Lepisosteus oculatus: one gene and its partners. The protein of the gene in region 1 interacts with the protein of each later gene in a pairwise test. Links are inferred from orthologs where the notes say so. Each region holds a gene or a part of one and is shown in the gene's direction. Other genes may lie near its edges.

Region 1 (7,746 bases):
AGTAAACTCTTATAAGGGCATGAACAGAGGCCAGACAGCTGTGCTTCATCCATCTAAATTTAGGCACACTACAGATTGTGGAAGAAACTGCTGACTCATGTGATGAGTCACTGAGGATCATTCAGAAGAGGGGATCCTGGGTTATGAGGTTGCTAGAAGCTGGGTGAGCCACACAAAGCTGAACTATTCTTAAAGCCATCAGTGCTGGAGAGCCCTCAGCTCAGACGACCTCAGCCTGGGAGCCCCCTGTCAGGTGAATGGATAAGAATCAGAGAGACTCTGCAAGAAAGAGGAGCTGATTAAGAGCCATGCACCACTGCATCAGGGTATTAATTAGGCAGCTAATTCATTACTGTATCAAATTAAAACCAAATGAGCTATTTAATTGTCTTACTATGCATATTGTTCAGAAATTGAATGCAATTTTAAAGTACATTCATGATGTGTTGCTTTTTTAAAAAATTGTTACAAGTTGTTTTGGATAAACCAATTTTATTATAATAATTACACATGCAGGCTTCTTATTATATTCTTTATGCATTGCGTTTTTCATAACGTTATTGTGTTAAGCTGTTTTGAATAAAGATATCAACCAAATTACTGCTGCAACTTTTTAGTTATAGGAACAATATAAGAAAAGTTATAAGTAAAAGGAGGCCATGTGGCCCATCTTCCCTGTTGGGTTGTTGGTAGTATATTGTTCCAAACATCTCATCCAGTCATTTCTTGACTGCTTCAACAACATGGCTGGGCAGCTTGTTCCTCAATCCCATAACTCTTTGTGTAAAGAAATACCTCCTCCTCTTGGTTTTAAATACACTACCAAACTAAAATGTTCAAACTGAAAAGTTTTTAGAGTCATGTGTTTGATATTTGTATTAACCAAGATTAATTTACTGTAAAATGCAAAATCCATCTACAAAAAGTACAACTAAATAGGTATGATTGTGTGGATCTACAGTACAATGATTTAAAAATCTATGTGAAACGCATTAGGAAGGACTAAAATATTTCTGTGAAAATCCTGAAATCTTTAATATTTGTGAGCAAAGGCTGGACAGCAGAGGTCCCTACAGGTCATTTTATAACGTTAAAGAATTTTAGTGGATGCTTTGCATACTGTTTAAGGGAGTGAATGCACATGGACCTAGACTTGGTTTTAAAATGGTTTTAGAGTTGGTTTTAAAATAATGCTCCCCTGCGAAACTGAATTTTTGCTTGGAGAAATGTTTAAGCTGTGCTTCCCCAGAAGAGTGACACATATGGAGCGTGAAAAAACGCTGAAGCTGCTGTCCAAACACACCATTTGTAACAGAAGACGTACATGATAAAGATGGCCCACCAATTGTGCAGTCAGGGCAGGTGGTAAAAATAGCTCTCCCTTGTGACAGCTGAACATGTCACTTTGGGGTCCTCGGTGCCACACAGCTGTCCTGTCACCTGCCTGACGTCAATCACTGGGCGAGACGCATTCTGTGTTACAGGACAAGTGAGAGGGACCTTCCCACGGGAGAAAATGAGCTTGAGGGGACTGCGTTTTCACTTTCCTGCACATTTTAACCTGGTGCCCTTTATCTTCCTGGAAAATTAGCAAATCCACTCTAAAACTGTCTAATGGATTTAAGTGTCAAATATACACAATACATTTTGTATATATATATATGCAGCTTCATATCAAATAATCGGCAGACTGTATCAGACTCCAGTTAGCCCACTGAAATGTCTCAACTTTTGGTTGGTATTACTTGCTAGCACTGATTGTGGGTGTTCCATAAATTAAGACGAGGCTCCTGTGAGAGATATTTATATTTTAATAATCAATTAATACTTTTTTAAATTAATGATAAACCTTGTTTCCAACACGGGGTGGCAATAGTTGTGGTAGTAAAGGTATACATTATATAAAACCCTAACTTTTTAGGAAATATTCAGCGTCAGTTTTCACTAGGAAATTTAAATATTATGAATGTACCACAGATGGGGATTTTAAATAATAAATGTTTTTAAATACATAGATCTGAATGTATAATCTCTTTGAAATAATAATAATAATAATAATAATAATAATAATAATAATAATAATAATAATAATAATATATAAAAATCTGATTTTGCAGTGTTTGGACACATTTATATCCCACCAAGATGTGCTAACAAAGAAACCTGGACACTAGTCAGGCTCACTGTCTCTCTTCAGTTAAAGGCTATTAAAACAGCAACTACAAAAAGCAAAATGAACATCAAAAATGCTGCTAATAATACTAAAATACTGCTCTGTTTGGACAGTAGGACTTTGGAGAGACAGGTAATTATTAAGTTGGACTCAGCAGTGCTTTCCAGCAGCACAAAATACACCCGACACTAGGGGCAGGTGTGTTACAAGTCAACCATAGCCTTGTCTGTGACCACACATCAATAAAGAGCAATCAAGACTGGCACACCTCGATTCAAAGACTAAATTATCAGTATCCATTTCCTCAGACATTGCCCATATCCTGGCTGACACACATATAAAGGGATTTCATCTTGAAGTAGATGTGGGCTATGTGTGACACGAAGACTTGACAAGTGCTGACTGACGCTTTGTTTTCGGAAAGCATACCTGTTTATTCCAGACACAGTGCACAAAGAGACAATCCTTCAAGTCAGCTAAGAGGTGCAGACAGAGGCTGGCCACATGGTCATTCTTTGGGATTGGAAGGGGGTGCCGAGTTCTCCAAAACCTGCAGAGATCCGGTCACAAATTGACTGTCCGGTCCTGTTTTGGGTGATTTTATGAGCATTCAGTAAGTGGATCTACTGGGATATCTGTGGAGAAGCCAGATTATTAGAATCCACACATGTGCAGGGTTTATATCCAATAGTTGGCAGGAACTGTAATGGCAGTGCTCTCTTTCTTTGTGTAGCACAGGTGTCATGTGCTAGGGCACTCCCTCCTGTAACCAACAGCCATCTCTGGACATCTGACCATAGCAGTCAGGCTGAAGGAACTCAACCTCTTAAGTCTTGAACCCAGATCGATCTGAGTATTAGATGGATCCAAGAAACAGTGAAACTCAAACCAGAGGGAACTATTGGAAGTGCTGTTAAAACCAAGAACAAAAGGCACTTCTTTACACAAAGAGTGGTGGGAGTATGGTACAAGCTGCTCCAGACATGTTGTTGAGGCTGATACCCTTTTTTTCCCCCAAAACAGGTGGTTGAGATCCTCCAATCAGGCCTGGAAGCACATCTTCACACAAAGGGTGGTGGGAGTGTGGAACAAGCCTTCTATCCATGTTGTTGAAGCCAATACCCTGGTTTCTTTCAAGAAGAGGATGAAATCCTGGGATCATATAACTACAAACTACCAAATGTGCCAACTGGGCTCCTCTCTGGTCTTGTAACCGTTTCTATGTTCACTAGTCCACACAGACAGATGGAGAACTATGATACAGTTCAAGTAGGTACTGTAGCTGTGTCAGTATGTGTCAGCTGCAAAGGAACAAATAAAGGTTTATTTCATGTTGAATAGAGAAGAAAAGAAACACAACAAACACAAAGGTTGAAACGTTTTGTTTCTTTTCTTCTCTTTTCAGCATGGAATGAACCTTTATTTGTTCCTTTGCAAACTATGATACAGGATGTGCAGATTTTTTACTCTCGATTTATAAAGTCTTCCGCTGTGGTCTACAAAACCCCAGAAATTTACACTCCTGTTGTGTTGTAATTCTGAATGGGAAGATGGCATTTTTGTTACACCTCACACAATGAGATTCTGCTGTGCTCTGTGACAGCCCGCAGTGAGACCTTAGAAATATTTCTTAGCTTTTTCATAGGGCTCTGTTTGTTCGAGGGGAAAATAAATAAAACGGTCAATCAGAGGCAATGTCCAGAAATAAGAGTGAGCATACTTCATTCTTACCAAAGTCGCGACCTTTTTTTATTGTTCACATAAAAAAACAAAGCAATTCGTTTCTAGGACACTTCCAATATGTAATTGAAAACTGCTGTTTTAAAACGCTTCAAGTGCCTTTTATAAAAAAAAGACGGGAAACAATATGCGTTATATGAACGCCATAAATAGCTGTATATTTAACCTGATAATAAATATGATACATTTTCAGAACTTAACAATATTAAATAATTACGTTATTTACACATATATTTTTACATTAAAAGTGTTAAGCTTATTGTTTTATTTATTTATTTTAACTCGAAAGGGTAAATGTTTTCGAACCCTAAAAGTTTCTTTAGCACACAACGGATACACACTTACAAAAGATGTATATCCTGTGCAATAAATATAGATCATTATAATTACTCTTAAGTATTGTATTACCGGAACCATGCTTCATGAATTGCGCTTATTGACTGAGAATTACGGTAATGAAACACTCGACCATCTCTAGCGTCAAAGAATCAAAGGATGTACATGGAGTAACCCAATCACATCGAGAATACGCGCTGATTGACAACCAACATATCCAATAAAGAGAGTTGCAGAGTCGATTACCGAGGAGGGCAAGAGGGAGGGATGTGTAAGGAAGTTAGTGTGAAAAGGGAATTCTGTTGAAAGGCGTGGATCTGAGCCAATAGGAGAGGAGGGTGAGTGGATGGGCGGGCCGTGTGTGACGGAGAGGAGGGATTTGGGGGTCATTCAGGGCCTCACGGGCTCACTCTGTCGGCGTGCGGTTTGGGGGACGGGCTGTGGCGCTCACCTGCGGTAGCGCAGCCAGCTTCTGGGGAGGAGGCAAAACTACACTAAATACATTACAATCACCCCACTGTTGCCACCCATGAAAAGCTGAAGAGCACAAACGGACAGCGTTGCTTGCGTCGCCTTGAGCCAGCAGTGTCGGACCCCGAGCTCATCAGGAGCGCAGGCGGATTGCATGAGTTTCTCGTCCCCGGAGTGTGACTGCATCCGACCAGCACTTCGACAGCGTATTTAGCAGCGCCCAGATCCGGCGTCACCCAGAACACTCTCTCCCCCCCCACCCCCCCTCCCCTCACTTATCCCGTCCCTCTCTCCGTCTAAACCCCGGGACACTGGAAATCCACAAGCGGCCGGGAAGCGGCGGCGGCGGCGGTGGCAGGCCGGGGCAGCGAGGGGGTCTTCCGGAGTCACAGGGAGCCGGCGAGCGGGAGGAGCACCGGGGGTTCCGTGAGGCGGCGAGGATGGACGGCCTGGCTGTGGAGGTCCGTGGCTCCAACGGGGCCTTTTACAAGGTAACGATCGGAAACGCCAGGGGACGATCTGAAAAAGGGAGCCCAAGGCTTCTGTTTGTGTCGGATTGGGCGGTGATTTGCGTCCAGGCCCGCACGGCTCTTTGTATCTTTCTGGGGTCTTGGGTGTCTGGGGAAGGCTGGGGGGGGGGTGACCGCTCTTTCTGCGGGCGAGGTCCCGTCCTGGCCTCCTTTTCCCGTGCAACATGAAATCGGTAGCTCAAATCATTTCCAGCTTCATTGCGTTGGTTTTAGGTGACAGATCCTCATCATGGGAACGCGCTAGACCTGCAGTAGTTCCTAACCCGTGTTCCTACCGGCGATCTCGGCTTCACACCTGCGTGCCACGAAAAACACAATCCACATGGCTTCACTTTGCTGTCCGCTCGTAGCGGTGCGTTTCTTTTATATTTCGCCATGATATAAACAAAGCTTCGCCAAGGTGCGGTGGTTTCGCTTTGTTCTGCATTTACACCCGCAGATCAGCGCATCTTCATGTCGGAGAAGTCGGTCGCTCCAGGTTAGGTGTTCAAGAACTGGTCCTCTGGGGGAACGCCACTGGTTTTCTCCCTTAACTGCAGCTGTAGTCCTGGCGTCGGTCTCGTTTTCTCCTGTTTATACCTGGAAATACTGCTTTCAGCTCGTGTTTGGTCACCCCACCAGTTATCCCACTGCAAGGACTAAACCACAGACACTGGAAGCCTATTGCGAGACGCCAGTAGGGACAGAAGTTGCAACCTTTCACACTTCGTGTTGAAAGCCCATGCTTAATACTGCAATCTCAGCCACATGTAACACAGCGTCCTGAAACCACGTACTGGCACACCGCTGTAGGTATCGATAACTTATCGATAAAGATTCATACTGAAGTAACAGGCGGTGTCACATTGTGGAACATTCCCGTTTCTTAAGTGGAACTCTTTCAAGCAGATTGATATAGAAATTTTCTACCACCCCATGGTTTTGGGAGCTGAGAAGCACACGAGATAATTTCAGTATACAGTATTTTTGCTGTGAGGTGCCAGTATTCCACCATGTAGTGTAAATTCCTGAGTGGAGTGGCTTTAGAATTTGGTTTTTAAATTAAGATTTTGTCTCTGGTTTTGCCTCGCAGCTCCCAGACCATACTCTGACCTTGTGCCTTTGTTAACCTAGGCTCTTGTTCGTTATTTTGGACCGTTTAGACCGCCGATGTGGAGCAGTTTGATCCGTGACGGGTTTTGCCACCGGACAGTTCTTGCACATACCTGCGCTGGTCACAGAACTGCTTACACCAAAGTTTCCTCCAAATATGGGTGGCAGGCATGAAACATGGCCTGGTGTTGGATGACAGGAACTCAGAGTAAATCCTGGGAGTGGATTGCATCGTTCCAGGAGTGGGACTCTCCATGTCTTCCCTACTGCCTACCTCGTGTCATCTTAGCAGGTTGAGCTAATAAGCAGTGATGCTTAATTTCCTAAGGAAAAAAGCCTTTGAATGAGAAGGCTGACCTTTTCTAGCACTTTCTACACAATCAGCTCTGGATGTTTCTTGCCAATTTAAAATCCCACAATAGGAAATAAGGCCTGCGTTTCACCTCAAGTTCCGACTTTATACCAATTGTACCGATTCATCGGAAGCCAGTGCTCATCTTTCAGGCTGGTGTGAGCCCATGTGATGAAACCATTAAGAATGGTATCTGCTGGATCTTTCCGGCTCGGAATTTGGCAGTCCTGCAGTGGGGTGGAGAGCTTTATCCCCATTACCCTGTTGCCCTTAAACAGAATCTAGTGCCGAGTGAGTCCTGAGTTTTCAGGCCTGGAATAAAAAGGCAAGCGTCAGTTTGCAAGAGTACTTCTGTGATATCCTACAGAGAGCTTCAGAAGACTAACTTTCTCACTAAACAGTGTTTGATCAAGTGCTGCCATAATTCTGCATTAAAAAGTCTAGAAATGTACTTTTGTGGCAATGTTACTCTTGCTACTATTGTTGGTGTTAGAAATGGCAGTGAATTTCCCTGTTGGGGAAAAAAAATGGCTTTTATGCTCAAACTGTTCTGATCGTGTCATCGCAGAAATGAGTTTGCTGAAACTGCTTTGGGGAATTTTCCAAATCTGCTCCGTTTTGCGCTCCGGTTTCCCTTTTGCTTTCCTCCTCCTGCTCCGTCACTCTGTTCAAGTGATGGATTTTGCCTCTTGCAGTCTGCTCCCCTTGGTTTGGAAATCGGGCCTTGTGCCTGCAGGAAAGATGAAGCGATGGGTGGGGTGGATCTCAGTGCCTGTCTGCCCTGCAGTCACCGGTCTGTGCAGTTCTGGAGCGTTAATGCCCAGCCAGACCAGTCACTGTGGGTATTGATGTGGAATTAGGTGAAAAATCAATGTCGGGTCATTTTAAAGCGATCGCGGTGTCTCTTAGTGCTTCCCCTGTTACATTCTTGTTCTGGGCAGCTAACTCGTTCATTATAGATGCTCAGCGATGGTTTTGAATGTGCGTTAAGGCAGAAGAGATTGCTTGATGCTCACCACCACCACCACCACCACTGTTACAGCTGTACCTAA
Region 2 (7,827 bases), on another chromosome or scaffold:
AAAATGTGTAGTCTTTGAAAGTGCGAATCGCCCAAAGAACTCCCTTTGGCCCTTGTTTATTTGACGAGAAATAAAAAGTATATTTAAATATAGCAAAACGGACTCGTTATATTTTGCACGGGCCATGGTTTTGCTGGTTTCTGGACTTTATCAGATCCCAAATACGTCCTTCGAACATTTACTTCCTACAAACAGTTGTTCAAAACGATCCCAATATTATTTTTCGGGTGCTGCGTCTTGTGGCAGCGTGATACCACCTCAACATGGTACTCCCTTACATCTGGCCGAAAGCCGTATTTTGGCCTAGATCTGCACAAACGCATTCCCTAAAGAAATAACTCGATTATCGCTCGAAGAATCGAAGCGACGTGGAAGACAATCGCAGCCTTTATTTTCCTGCAGACCGCGTCTGGTGACTGTGCCACTGCAGAATGGTGACATGAGACCTTTTGGCAGTTGCCAGAAACCATAAGATGTCAGTAAGAGGATGGTGTAATACACACAGAGTGAATTTATTGTGGCATTAAAACTTCTCACCTCTTATCAAAAGGGACTTCTTCAGGCTACCTTGCTCATTGGCCCGAGTTGTGGTGATGGATATTTGAATTGTCTAGTGACATAATGGTTTCACTGATCTCACAGCACAAACCCCGACTTGGAAACTATCAGGCGTAGCAGCGCTCTGCTCAGCGTTTCAGTTGAAACTTGGCATGACATCACGAATCCCGACTTCACAGTTCTTCCGCTTGTACCTCTCATGCCCCCTCTTTACTGGGATTATGAAACCCAGTTGGTGTGAATTTCAATAGGATCGTGCGCTACCAGTTTGATCACAGAATCGAGAAGGTACCTTTTCAGACAGACGCGCACCATTAATATGACAATTCTTTCAATAAAGAGCAAAAAGCTCTGTGAATGGGAGGTGGCATTTCTTATAATCTCATACCGGATTCATCACCTATTTTGATGGTTAACAACACTGGATTGTTTTCCGCAAGGATGATATCCTATACATATTTTCCCTTATCACACACCCGCACAATAAACAGAGCAGGAATCAAGACAGTCTACCTGAAGCGCATCGGATTAATCGGGAAACTAAATCGCGTGGTTCGTTTGTTTTAAACACTTATTTGAAAAACCACTAACCACTAGCCATCTGAAAGCACTCAAGTGGAATATACGCACTGCCCATACCTGTATTATGAGTTAATATTTACGAACAAAGGTGTCAGCTTTGAAAACGAACTTCTTAGCTGTACAACAGCAGCAAACTGAACCTGCTAAAAGTGAAGAAGGCTTTAATCCATCAATTAGATTGGATTGTTTGCGCATTCTCTGCACAAATACAAACAGGATGCCACTGCCTCACGCTGTCAAGAAGGCTCTTACGCTTGCGGGTACTGTCGTTGTTTTTTAACTAGATGTTATTAACGTTACTGTGCTGTTATAATTATCACCATCACCACCCCATCTGAAACTGAAAATGATCTCCGCCGGCGTAAGTACACTATCAAGACGGAAAAGACCCGAGGTTTTCAAGAAACTAGCATGCACACGCGCAATCGCGTCCCATTGTGACCACTATCGCGCTGTATTCTCCGTGTTCATCCATTTCTAATAGCGCGCATTGGAAGCAGTCAAGGAACGGCTCCGCTACTCATTGATTTAAGTGCGTTTGTCTCTTTGGACGCGCTTCTTCGCCTCGAAAGAAGAGAGATCTGTGCGTGACGCGCTTCAACAGCCATAAGCATAAATACCAGAATCACATTTAAAAACAAAAGTTTTCACAGTTACCTGTGTGATGCGAATACAAGCGTCAGTCAAGAAAAAGCAGCTGGCTGACAGCACTGACCCTACAGACACAAAGTAACTGGAGATCGAGCACAGCAGGACTTTTCGTGGGCACGAGAAGTTTGCAAACATACCTGTAAAAGCTCTGCACGAAATACCACCGTGGTTGAAAATAGCATCTCTTTACGCGCACGTGTCTTAATGCACATTTAACCCAGGATTTGGAAGTAATTTCCATGCAAGAACAGCAGAGGCGATTTCTTTCATAAATACGACTGTTTCTTGCGCTCACATCACTGCACATGTACATGCAGTATTTATGGGCACACAATACAGCAACCTTTCCCCTGCCGCTCGCAGCTCCCATTTGATAAATGTTATTCGGGTGCTGGCCTATTACACAGTTGCACTTTCATTTATTATGGTGTTGTGCGGCTTTGAATATAAATCAAATCAACAGAAAAAAAAACATGAATTAAAATGTTCAATGTCTCTGTAAAACAAGAGCCAGTATGCATTCTGGAAAGATTGCTGGTTTCCGCTATTTGCACAGTTACTTTTAGAAATTTGTTGTCGCCTTCAAAGTAATTCCTCCGTTCTAACCTGTGGAGACCCTAGGGGAGTAATAATTTTGCAGTTTACGTGATATACATTCGAGAAAAGCCAAGTGATTTAAACCTGCATACAAAAATAGACAGGTTCCCAATTGGTTAGCCTCTTTTTTTTTTTTAAAGAGATGGAATAAGAATGCTGTAGGCCTCCGTCACAAGGTATAGCAGTTATTTTCTAAAATATCCTGCATGAATAAGTCATTCTTCATCGTTTTCGCAGTTTTAGGTGACTGAGGTTAGAGGTCAGCCTTAGGAACCACTTATATAGGGATCTGAAGTCACCAGGTACAGCCAATCCCGTGATTTCCCTGTGAGAATCCGAAGAATTTAGCTTCCTGAATTCAATGACTCCGCCCCTTGATGACTCACCCGTTCTTCCAACCGCTACTTTGCTACACAGTTCTTTAGCAAGTGGTGGTGATGGTTGGATTCGCACAGCGGTGCACACAGTCAGTTCCAGCACTCCTTTGCTGCGGAGAAAGCCCACTCGGCTACGTTGCGCTTCATTCTGCCTCTGACGTTTGCCAGGATCCTCACTCCCAACTTTGTGTTGTGCTGGATGACAGTGTTCCTCACATTCCACAGTCCTAGTATTGTGAGGGACACTCACTGCCACGGCACACTGGTAGCTTAGCACTGTTCCTACTCCCAGGAGTCGTACAGTGTTTTCCATTCTTCCATGCACCACTTTGGTGAAGGGGCAAATCCAGAACATGTGCTCCGTTGTCTCCTGATAAAACACGTGTCCTAGGGGCAGTGTGTGTTCCTGGTCATCAAGTGTCTGCCAAGGTCCTCTCTGGTCACCAGCCTCGGCTGCACAGCCTTCCATTTGAGGTCCTCCAGCTTGTTTTCCAGTTCTTTGAGTTGAGTCCACTCCCAGGTCTCATTTGGGGTTAGCAATTGTGAACCAGTTCCCCCCTCTGCTCCTTGTATAGGGCTCAGTGGTGCAGAGCTCTGGCCATGTCATGGTCTCGTATCTTTGGTTCCTCTTGACAGCGTGGGTGTGGATTCCTGGTTGCTTTTCTGCTTTTGGCCCCGTGTTTGACCACAGGAGCAGGTGCCTCATCAGGAGGGAGAACCACAGCCTGACTAAGTACTAGTAGTTGTGGCTGATCAGGTCCCATAGTGTCACGATCGTGACCCCCTCCTCTTAAGGACACTCCAGCCCTTCCTTGTTCAGAACTCATCCCCTGCACCTGCCTCCGGTTCCTGCCCCTCGTCCTATAAAAGCCGGGCGCTCACTGTCTTCCGGGCTCTGCACTGGTTTCTGTACCAGGCGAGTCTGGGACCTGGAAGTGCCTGGTCCCGTCAAGCTTTTAAGTTCCTGTTCCTGCCGGTTCCTGTTTTTATTCTGTTTGTCTTGGATGGACCGTCCGGTTTTGGATTTTCGCCTTCTCTTGGATTCCCTCTTGGACGTCTTTCTGGATTGTTTGCCTCGGCCACACCTTCCCCAAACACCAGCGTTCCATGAACACGCCCCCTGTTTTCATTCCCGACTCCCGCAAGCTTTTTCCCCATGTTTTCCTCACTCTACCCCGGATCATGTCGTCTGCATAGGGTCCTAAAAGAACGCTTCCGTTACACATAGTACCAAAAAGAGGCTGCAGGCACACCATGGCAGGGTAACTAAAGCCACAGGATGTCAGATTTCGGCATCACCTTCCAAGTGAGGGTCAGTGACCATGTTTTCCACAGACACAGCTTTGATTTCACCCTGGCAATCCACTCTGTCCATTCACATGGTTATCTAATACGGGTTGTTCTGTGTGTATTAGAGGATGCAATGCAGTCCATTCCAGCATAGGGAGCGAATTACCCGTTTTCAAAATCTATATTTAAAGATCATGCAGAGTGACAACATTGACACTTCACTTTATTTTCCTGAGGTTGTGATTAAAAGTAGGCTATGACCATTTGTTATTTAATCAACGCTATCGGATAATTGTCTTTCTATCAAAGAAAACAAATTACTCTCATTCAGAAGACTTAAAAGGCAAACGCGTCTTGCAAAGCAAAATATATAAAAAAATCTATTCAATCTAGCATTTGTGACAGCACGTGGATTTCTACGTATCTGACAGGATTCTTTGTCTCTTTGTAAATGTAGTTAACCGATCTAGAAAGGGGCATATTTTCGTTAGTAAATAGCAGTTACTGTTTGGAAGATTTAATATTAACACATGTTCCAGATGGACGAACAAGGAAAAGCTATGCAGTGTCTTGATAATAAGGATGCCCAGCTAGTGTAGCTGTTTTTTTTTTCCAAATAGACATCCGAAGGGCGGAACCTAGCGCTAATAGAAAACGAGTCACACGGTCATTTGACGCAGCGCGCAATTCCTGTGCGTCGCTCTAGTGACGCAGAGCGGCGCCTTCACTGTGTCGGGGTGAATTCAGAGCTGGCGATGCTTAAATTTGATTTTTCAGTTATTTTAATAGTTTAATCTGTGAATGGCGCCAAAACAGGACCCTAAGCCTAAATTTCAAGAAGGTAAGGAACGATTTAATCAGTAAAATTTTGGAGTGGAAGCAGGCCTGCGTTTCGCCCTGTGTGTGACTGAGGGGTAGGGCGGCGATTTGCAGTCACTCCACGGTGTTTGTGTAGATAGCAGAACTGAAAAACGCGCTTAAGTAAAGATTAAAACCTTGTTCAAAAAGGAATAAAACTACGAAGGGCCAGGGCGGATTTTTGTTTTTAGCAATTTAGCTAGCGAAATGTTCACTTTCCCAGATTTATTGGGTGCATTTTTCTAAAGGCCTAACATCTATGAGCTAGCTAGTCTTTTTCAAGTAGAGTGATCTATTGTCTTCGTTGAAGAAAAAATAGGCTATAAAATATCTTCTTTTTGTTTGTGTCTGTAATTAGTAATGTAAGGAGAACAATGAGTTTTTCAGCTAAAACTTAAAAGATTTAATTTTGGACTTTGAGTCTTGATTGTCACCGTGTGTTTGAGCGTATTCTTCGTCGAACCCTGCTTGAGAACCATATTTCTTGTCCCTTAAAACAGTCGAATATAATCGATGCTTCTCGTCGTATCTGAAATAAGTTCCGACCTTTACATTAATATCTGTTAGTAATGCTAATTTATGAGCAAATCAGCTTTTCATATATACTTTTCTTAACTTAGGTTTGATAACGTTGCTCTGATAATTCGTCCTTCTTTGGCTAAGGTAATTATTTTAATTTTTTTCTTGATATTTCAGCAAACAATGTTTTACATTTTTTTGCCATGAAGTAAAAAGTTGTAATGTGGAAAAGTCGCGCTTTTTCTTCACATAACGTTTGTATACAGAAATATCACATTGTGCCAGCACGGTGTAACTAAATATAGTTATGTAGCGACTACTTACCTCTTCGAAGCTGTAGCGAGAGAAAGAGAGATGCAGCTTCTTTTGTTGATCTTAACCTGCATGCGATATTCTGACAATTTAAAGGTTCACACCAAGGTATTTCTTCAGAAGCCTCAGTGAGTCGTAGGCCTTCCTGACATGTACCACAGCAAGAGTTTACCAATGGGCACTTAAATCCTTGATTAAAAACAGTACAATAACCCAGATTTGCATTCAAGTCTTGTGGCTTGCCAAAACGTGCCACTTGCGTAGCCCAAAAATCTAGGGTCGGCTCTTTCTTTCTGTTCGATTTGAAACTAAGTGACCTAATACTTTTAAAAGGGGTCCCAGTAAGCGGTTAACCCTCCAGTTTTTTGCGTCTGTGTGAAGAGATCTAGTGTTCTGTGATAGTCTTGCGAACTAAAGTTAACATCAATCAACTTGCAACTAGGAAGCAACAACTGTCTGCTAGATATTAGCAGTGCTTTGTAAACCTTGGTGAGTCTCTGGTACTTAATCACTCTTATAAACATGAAGATACACTAAGGTGTATCTTGTTTTCTTAGCAGTACATTATTTAAACTTGGGAACCATAATAATTAATAATAATAATTGCTTACACTTATATAGCGCTTTTCTGGACACTCCACTCAAAGCGCTTTAGAGGTAATGGGGACTCCCCTCCACCACCACCAATGTGCAGCCCCACCTGGATGATGCGACGGCAGCCATAGAGCACTAGTACACTCAGTAAGGCTTATCCGCATAAGGCTTGCATCAGTTTCCCTATCCTAGTCCAAATGGAAAACTCTCTTGTGGTTTGTGCTCTGAGTTCTTAATCACAGAACAGTTAATTTATTTTCTGTCTGGGGGCCATTTTTAAATTTGCTTTCAGATTTTAAACGGTCAAATGGAATTTGTAATTGGTGTCAGACCTGTAGTAATGTCTGAAACTCCCTAATTTTCTTGTTTCCTGGAATGTAACCAATCAGATCTCTAGAAAAAGGGGGAAAAAAGCTCTTAGTGGGAGAGTTTAAGTCAGTGTCATATTTGCTTGTCAGTTCATTATAAATGACTTATTAGGTGTTCAGAGAAAAACAAGTGTAAGCAATGCAGGAGAGGCTCTTTGTGCTGACGTTATTGAAAACAGTATGCTGTATTTAAAGTAGTGTATGTTTTAAACTCATACCGAAGGCAGAAACAAATTAACGAAGTCGTAAGCAATCAAATCAACTAAAGGTAAGAGCATAAGTACAATTACAAATGACACCAGGTCAATCGAACCATCTAGCCTGAATAGAAACATGGTGGGAACTGCTGGCTAAATGCAATGTGAGTAACCCAAGAAAGAAATTAAATCCAACTAGAAATACTGTGTAAAAATAAGAAGGCTGCATGATGTTTTAAGACTTAGGTATATTTGTATTGGGTACATTTACTTGAAATATAGTTCTGAATATAGTGTGTGCGTAGCCCATATGGTTAATATTTGTCTTAAGAAATGTACAGGCAGTGTGTCTGTATGTTAGCAGCATAATGATTAGGGTTTTTGTCTCCTGAGTGGAGGGTTATGAGTTCAAATCCAGGGTGGGACTGGTTTTGTACTCTTGAGCAGGTACTTCACTGATAATGCTCCACTAAATGTCCAGCTGTATAGATAAGTCGCCAGGTTTCCACTGGAAGTGAGAATGTTGTGCATGTAATTAGCTGGTGAACTAAAGGAACGAATTATGGTGAAAGGAATGTCTGAGAAGTGCCTGCATGTAGAGGTTTCAATTATGCAGTCTTTCCATCTTGAAGCAGATTACAGTTCACTGTAAGCTATATTTAAATGTGTATGGATGTTTTACAAGTATGTAGTACTGCATCTATACATATATGGAAATTAGACTTTTCTAAACAGACACTCGGATTTAAAAGAACACCAGCCTCATTGATGTCGGCAAGTTTGGTTTCAGTTTGCCGTATATGAAGACGGTATAGAAATTAGACAAGTCAGGGGCCACGGCCTACCTTACTGCACCCTGTCCCTTGTATCATGAGCACAGAGCCTTAAAAATGAGTATAACTGGAACACTTTCAAAAGGATTGA
Region 3 (7,590 bases), on another chromosome or scaffold:
CGCTCTCAAGTGGAGCTGTGAAGTTCAGGATTAGGTAGAATAAATCGGAGAAAAATCCTGAGTAAGAAGATATACATTTGTGTACAATTCTGCTCCCTTTCAGAGCTCTCAGCTGAGACTCATTACTACACAGCCAGGAGTGTCCTGGTAAGAGGTTCTACAGCTCAGTGGGGCGGAGGACACAGGCGAATGGAAGTCAGGACGAAAGCATGTCTTTTTTAACTTGGTGATTACTTTGTGATTTCTCCTGATGTCCTGTAGATTCAACACTGCTGTGACTACACTCCTTACAAAGCTCTTTACAGTTCCAGCCTAAAGGATCGAGTAATCTTAACAAGCACCTTTGTTTCCCAGTTTTTAATAAGGCTGATCTGCTTGAGGAGATTGGGCCAGTGATCACTTTTCTGACGAGAAACAGACTCCTCTAGAAAAGAACATTCTGCTGGACTTAGGTGACTTCACACTACCCACACACTGCATCTGTTTTTCCATTCTTTAAGATGGTTGGGAAGGATGATTTAAACATCCTTCTCAGAACTCTAGACAACGCAAGGGAAATGGCTGATGCACCAAACCAGTGTTTCACTCAGGAGTTCACAAAGAAAGAAGTCAGCAACATGCCCCAGGCAGGAGCAGGAAAAAAGTACTGTATTAAATATTATTACCATAGAAGAGGCAGGAGGATTTGGGGAAGTAGAACCAATCAAGATTAATGCATCCCCAGGGACAGATGGTATCTTACCAACTGTATCCAAGGAAACAAGAGATATGATTCAGAAGCCACTGGCACAACTGTTCCAACAGTCACCAGACAGGTGTAGCACCCAGGGACTGGAGAGTTAATCATGTAGTACCCTTCCATAAAAAAGGCGAGAAAACTGAAGCTCGTAATAACAGAAGAGCAACACCAATGTCTATTACATGTAAAGTAAAGGAAACAATTATCACAACTGAACTAGAGGATCACACTGTATGTAAGGAAATAATATCCCAGGAAATAGTTAGCATTAGTTTAGAAAAGGAAGGTCTCGCCCGATCAATTTGTTAGATACAAGAACAAGAAACAGCAGCAATGGACTCACACAGACCATACAATATTCACTTCAGAGATCTGTACTAGGACCACTGCTCAGCCGAATTTATACCAACTGTCTACATTCTACTATAGTTCGCAAACTAGACCAGAATGCAGACAACACCATTTTCATTGTAGACACAAGTGAAATTCACAAAGATTTAGATCAAATTCAGGACTGAGAAATCTGCTGCCAGATGATATGTAATGTACACAAGTTCAGGGTTCTGTATGCAAATTGTAAAAACAGAAATACAAAAAGGATACACTACAACACATTGAGACAGAAGAAACTACTTATGAAGAAGACCCTGTTTATATTGACACCATCTTCTAGCCCATATGGGGAAGCAGTAAAAAAGGCAAACAGAGTTAGTATATTTATGTAAAATCTTAGAGTTCCCATCAAGGGATGTTGTGTCAAAACTGTACAGCGCATTTGTTAGGATTCATTTAGAAAACCATGTACAATTCTGGTTACCAGAACACATACACTCAATGATACGATGAGACAGACAGCCTGTCAGACCCACACAGACAGGATGAAGAACTGAATCCATACACGCTTCCCAAATCTTCCAAGACACTGATACAGTCAACCCACTGGACTTCTTCAGAATCAATAGTGAAACGCCAACTAGAGGACATCCGTGGTATTTAACACTGAGAACAGGAGGAACTTCTTTAAACGAAGGGAGCTGGGAGTGTGGCACAATCTACCCACCCACGTGATTAAAGCTTATACCTGGGTTTCTATCAATAAACACCTGGATGAGACCCTGAAGAACTCTGTACAAAAAGGGAGGTAGGAGTGTGGAACGAACTTCCCACCCATATTACTGAAGCTGACACCCTGCACCAATTTCAAGAAACAGCTGGATGTGATCTTTAGATCGATTATTCCTTGCAGAAGTATTCAGATCCTTTTTTATCTCTCCTTTTGCCAGCTTCTTCATCTAATTCAGGGTTGTCGAGGAACCGGAGGCTATCCCTGCAAGCAACAGGCAAAAGGAAGGTACACACTGGACAGGACGCCAGTCCATCGCAGGGTACACACAGACACAAACACACTCACACCACGGCCTGTTTTCCATGAACCCAATTAACCTACCAGCATGTCTTTGGAATATGGGAGAGCACCTGAAGGAAACCCCACAGAAACACAGGAATAACATACAAACTCCACACAGATAGCACCTCAGGTCTGGGATTGAACTCAGGACCTCAGCTGTGCAAGACAGCAATGCTAAACACTGCACCACCTTCCTTCAGACTTTACAGACTTTACAACGTGTCCAATGTTCTGAAATTGCAAAATACAGTAATGCAGACATTTTTTTTTAATTGACGAAGTGTAAACTACACATTAAGATAAGTTATAATAAATCTCAGCAAAAACTAAAAAGAACAAAACACGACTGGTTAATTTCTCAAGCATTCAGATATATGCACTCAATACTTTCCAGAGTTTTTTTTACACATTATTTGGATACCTCAGACACTGTTTAGGAACATGTTGGCCCTGTGTCTGTGTGAGAGCGAGGGACACAGAGGGACAGAGACACCGTGGCCCGAGTGATCAAACTGTACTCACAGGTATCTGCTGTGTTTTTTAGGAACACATTTGCAGTGTGGTGAGGATCTGTCTTTCCGGCTTCCACAAACGCAAATCCAAACTTAAAGACTGTGAAGAGGGAAATAAAACACAAAAATAAGTGTTTGAGGAAAAGATATCGTAGGGCTGCCCTGATCCTGGAAGGCAGGTGTAAGTCTAAGTCTCCCCAAGAGCAGCAGCAGTTAAGACTTGTCATGTTAAACCCATTTGCAGCCTGACTTTAGTCAGGAATAGATGATTGGGAATAATGTCCAGACGCTGCAGCCCTCCCGGACTATACTGAAATATATCCTTACATCGCTATAAAGTACGAAACTCTTAATGTCGTTTTGTTTTACCGATCGTTTTAGTACAATATCAGTACTAAAATACGAGATAGTTACAGACCCAACACTAGTAAAACCAGCAATCTTCTACCATTAATCTAATAATTAGGGCTAATTACTCCATGCTAAGTCATTTTTTAGGAGCTGTTCGAAAAACAGGTACAGCATTTATCGTGGGTAAGTTGCAGTTAAGCTCTTTGATTTGAAATACGCGCACTTTATCTGACTGAACATGAAGCGCTACTTGGACAAGTATTTAAAAAAAGATTCCGTTAGAGAACAATGCGGGACACGCAGTCGCGGTAACCCAGCCTTTTTAACAAAGAAATGCTAAAAATGTCCTCTGGGTTACCGGTCTCCAAGACCTTCAACCGCACCTCTCCGGCTGAAGAAGCTGGGACAGGTTTCATACTTTATCATTTTCAATAAAACATTGGCCAACTGGCGTCTGGTGGGAAAGGTTCTCCCAGTAGCTACTCCACTTACACAGCACCCACACGCCGCACAGCACGGTGAACACGTCATTGACCGACTCCAGATCCACGGCGCCCATTTTCTACCAGCACACTCGTACGCGGGCGGTGACCTGAAATTAATTAATTGTGTGAATGAGTCGCCTCTCTGCGGCTACGCGCCACATCAGCGCTAACATCCGTCCGTCAACCGCCCCTGCCGCTCGAGGCCGCTAACGGCCGCACTTCCGCCGGCCGTCCACGCGCGAAGTCCATCGAGGTAAGAGTCACGACGTCGACAATTCGTTTCAAAGTAAAATGTATTATAGTTTTTTATTTTAAAAAAAAACTTTAAATGCCTGATGGCGAGCCTACATAATACAAATACAATCACGCTCCCATTTCTTGAATTTCATTTTCTACAAAAATGGACATCCAAAAACATCCAAAAAGCAACAGGAACTACAGTCAAGTTACAGACAGGTGCGAGAAAACGTTTTCCGTCTAGAGAACAGAGACGAATTATGGGAATGTCAACATGAATTCAACTCTGGCCGTCTCACAGAGATGGAAACCAGAAGAAACATAGAAAACAGACAAACTATTGAAGTCAGTTTGTTTACAAATTCCAAAAAACAAGATACTTCTTTTACAACTGTTAAATTCTCGTAGTTTATCTCATATGAAAAGGCAATGGCTACTGATCGCCGTGCATGAACGCCGAAGCAATGTCCATATGTGCTGTTAGAGTCCGCAGAGGAGAGGGCCAGCGGCCCAGACCAGACCGCCTGTAGGGGGCAGGGTGGCTGACTGGACTCACAGGCCGTTCTCAGTGCCGCGACACAAACAAGCAATGAGAGTAACAGCTGTCTCAGTCTGTCCTCCCCACTCTGGTCTTGTACAGTTTCTCTCTCCTCCCCTGATCTGTGTGTCGTGGGGCTGCAGGAGGACTGAACCCCACTCTGGTCTTGTACAGTTTCTCTCTCCTCCCCTGATCTGTGTGTCGTGGGGCTGCAGGAGGACTGAACCCCACTCTGGTCTTGTACAGTTTCTCTCTCCTCCCCTGATCTGTGTGCCGTGGGGCTGCAGGAGGACTGAACCCCACTCTGGTCTTGTACAGTTTCACTCTGCTCCCCTGATCTGTGTGCCGTGGGGCTGCAGGTGCAGAACAGTGTCACCCAGGTGGTTCTGCAGTTCTGTGGTGTTGAAGTGGGTTCCCTCCTGTGTGTGGAGCTCTATACAGTACATGCGAGGGAGCCTTTTCACGAATAGTTTTTTTTCATTGTTTTTTTTTTTTTTAGTCTTAGCAATATCGGCGTCACAGCAGCACATGGAGGAAGTGCAGCCACCAGTTTCTGAGAAGAGCCGAGGGCTACAGCCCTGGTGCAGCACAGGGGGACGGGGCAGTTCCTCCTGCAGTCTTGCCCACTGTGTTGCGTCAGGCAGCCATGTGCACCATATAGTCCTCCCTGACGGTCTGAGGGGTCCTACACAGGCTCAGAGACTGTGCTCAGAGACGGGGCCTGTGGTCCAGTGGGCTCCTTAACGAGGGCTGGGTTTTTATTAACAACCCCCCCCCACGCAGCACCACTCGCTTGTCGGCCGGAGGATTTTTCAAGAAACTCAGGAGGAAGTAGTGAATGACGCCATTTGTGTTTCTTCGAAAAGCCTCGCTTTCGTGCCGTCCGCGTCGTCTCAGTCTGTGCAGCAAGAAGGGGCTGTTTTCTCCCCCCCCCCCCCACCAGACCCCCCCATCCGAGGTTGACAGCCCTGGTTTCGCAAGAGGAAGATGTCAGCATTCGTTCAGTCTTGAGCGCTTCCTTCCTGTCTCTCTCTCTCTCACTCCCTCGGTGTGAGCTGTTTGGTGCGGGCTCGTTCTGCTGCACAGTGCGTGCAGGCCATCTCTCTCTCTCTCGCTCTCTCTCTCGTCGGGCACCTCACTTCCTCCGCAGCGCGGCGACGCCAGAGCTCAGGGCGTAGCAGCGAAGCCGCGGGAGCCATTTTCTTGGGGCCCTCTCCATCCAGCATGCCGAGCAGGAGGTAACCGGGCAGGAGGACGCGGTCGGCCCAGGCTCGCTCGTTGCCCGTTTTTCGGCTTCTCCTTCTTCTTCTTCTTCAAGGGACTCGGATTCGGAGCGGAATATCTCGCTACGTGAGGGGAGCAACATGAGTTTCGACCAGCTCCCTAGCCGGACTGAAGTCCTGGGCTGGAACGCCAACAAGCTGGCAGAGTACCTCAAGTCGGTGAGTGCGTCAGGCCCGACCCCGGCGCTCTCGGGTTTGGTGCGGGCTGTCCGGGGCTTCGGCACGCGAGACCGGGCCCGTGGCCCTCGGCTCTCGCGCTCAGCCCAGCTCCTGGGCCTGGGGGAGTCAGTGTCTCTGCGCTTGGTTTTTTCGTGGGAGAGGACGATGATCCAGATCGCTCCCTTTCTGGGGCAAACCCGCCTCTTGTGGTCAGCTGCTCCGTCCACTTGGGTTGTGTTGTCGTTATGGAAGCCTTGTCTCCAGTGAGTTAGCGTCGCCCGTAGTGTGCTAGCAGCGTCGTCTCCAGTGTGCTAGCAGCGTCGTCTCCAGTGTGTTAGCTTCGTCTCCAGTGTGTTAGCGTCGTCTCCAGTGAGTTAGCAGCGTCGTCTCCAGTGAGTTAGCGTCGTCTCCAGTGTGTTGGCGTTGTCTCCAGTGAGTTTGTGATGTCTACTGTGAGTTAGCGTTGTCTGCAGTGAGTTAACTACACCATGTTAGCGTTGTCGACTGCATTAGCATTGTGTACAGTGAATTAATGTTGTCTCCAGTGAGCTGGCATTGTCTACAATGTGTTAGTGTTGTCTGCTACCTTAGTTTTGTCTGCAGTGTGTTAGCGTTGTCTACAATGTGTTAGTGTTGTCTACTGCCTTAGCGTTGTCTACAGTGAGTTTGCGTTGTCTACAATGTGTTAGCATTGCCTACAGTATGTTAGTATTGCCAACAATGAGTTCACATTTCCCACAGCAAGTAGGCATTGTCTCTAGTGTGTTAGCATTATTTGCAGTTTGTGAGCGTTGTCTTCAGTGAGTCAGCATTATCTTCTGAGTCAGCATAGCCTTCAGTAAATCAGAGGTGTGTTAGCGTCGCATGCAGTGTGTTAACATCACTCACACTGTATTAGCCTTGCCCACAACAATTTTGTGTTGCCAACAGCGAATTAGCATTGTCTGCGATGAGTTAGCGTTACCTGCACTGTGTTAGTATCACCTGTCAGTGAGTTAGCATTGCGTACAGTGAATTAAGCATTGTCTACAGTGTGTTGGTGTTGTCTACAGTGAGTTCGCGTTGTTTACAGTGAGTTAATGCTGTCTGCAGTAAATCGTCATTGTCTCCAGTGTGTTGGCGTTGTCTCCAGTGAGTTTGTGATGTCTACTGTGAGTTAGCGTTGTCTGCAGTGAGTTAACTACACCATGTTAGCGTTGTCGACTGCATTAGCATTGTGTACAGTGAATTAATGTTGTCTCCAGTGAGCTGGCATTGTCTACAATGTGTTAGTGTTGCTTGCTACCTTAGCATTGTCTACAATGTGTTAGTGTTGCTTGCTACCTTAGCATTGTCTGCTGCATGCTAGCTTTGTGTGCAGTGAGTTAGCGTTGTCTACAATGTGTTAGCATTGCCTACAGTATGTTAGTATTGCCCACAATGAGTTAGTATTTCCCACAGCAAGTAGGCATTGTCTGCAGTGTGTTAGCATTATCTGCAGTTTGTGAGCATAGCCTTCAGTGATTCAGAGGTGTGTTAGTGTTGTCTGCAGTGTGTTAACATCACTCACACTGTATTAGCCTTGCCCACTGCAAATTTGTGTTGCCTACGAGTTAGCGTTGTCTGCGATGGGTTAGTATCACCCGTCACTGAATTCGTATCACCCATCAGTAAATTATCATTGCCTACAGTGAGTAAGCATTGCGTACAGTGAATTAAGCGTTGTTTACAGTGAGTTCATGTTGTCTGCAGTAAATTGGCATTGTCTCCAGTGTGTTGGCATTGTCTCCAGTGAGTTAGCTTTGTCAAAAGTGTTGACGTTGTCTCCAGTGTGTTGGCGTTGTCTCCAATGTGTTAGCGTTGTCTACCCTGAGTTAGCGTTGTATGCAGTGTGTTGGC

Evidence for each region.
Region 2: the proteins of fxr2 (region 1) and morf4l1 interact in binary tests that used the Homo sapiens proteins (3 or more experiments, as listed by UniProt). The two-hybrid records come from large-scale screens. The link is inferred for Lepisosteus oculatus from reciprocal best matches to the Homo sapiens genes FXR2 and MORF4L1.
Region 3: the proteins of fxr2 (region 1) and lcp2a interact in binary tests that used the Homo sapiens proteins (3 or more experiments, as listed by UniProt). The two-hybrid records come from large-scale screens. The link is inferred for Lepisosteus oculatus from reciprocal best matches to the Homo sapiens genes FXR2 and LCP2.

Annotation. Positions count from the first base shown.
Region 1 is NC_090698.1:11,918,199-11,925,944, forward strand, and holds the start of fxr2 (fragile X mental retardation syndrome-related protein 2), read left to right. Parts: upstream 1-4,643; 5' UTR 4,644-5,160; coding exon 5,161-5,211; intron 5,212-7,746. UniProt on the Homo sapiens protein: mRNA-binding protein that acts as a regulator of mRNAs translation and/or stability, and which is required for adult hippocampal neurogenesis. Specifically binds to AU-rich elements (AREs) in the 3'-UTR of target mRNAs.
Region 2 is NC_090700.1:48,885,941-48,893,767, reverse strand, and holds the start of morf4l1 (mortality factor 4-like protein 1), read left to right. Parts: upstream 1-4,733; 5' UTR 4,734-4,856; coding exon 4,857-4,896; intron 4,897-7,827. UniProt on the Homo sapiens protein: Component of the NuA4 histone acetyltransferase (HAT) complex which is involved in transcriptional activation of select genes principally by acetylation of nucleosomal histones H4 and H2A.
Region 3 is NC_090706.1:29,680,399-29,687,988, reverse strand, and holds the start of lcp2a (lymphocyte cytosolic protein 2a), read left to right. Parts: upstream 1-4,496; 5' UTR 4,497-5,634; coding exon 5,635-5,712; intron 5,713-7,590. Other genes in the region: putative ammonium transporter 1, read right to left, coding at 2,670-2,759, 3,503-3,569. UniProt on the Homo sapiens protein: Adapter protein primarily involved in signaling pathways within T-cells, as well as other immune cells such as platelets, mast cells, and natural killer (NK) cells.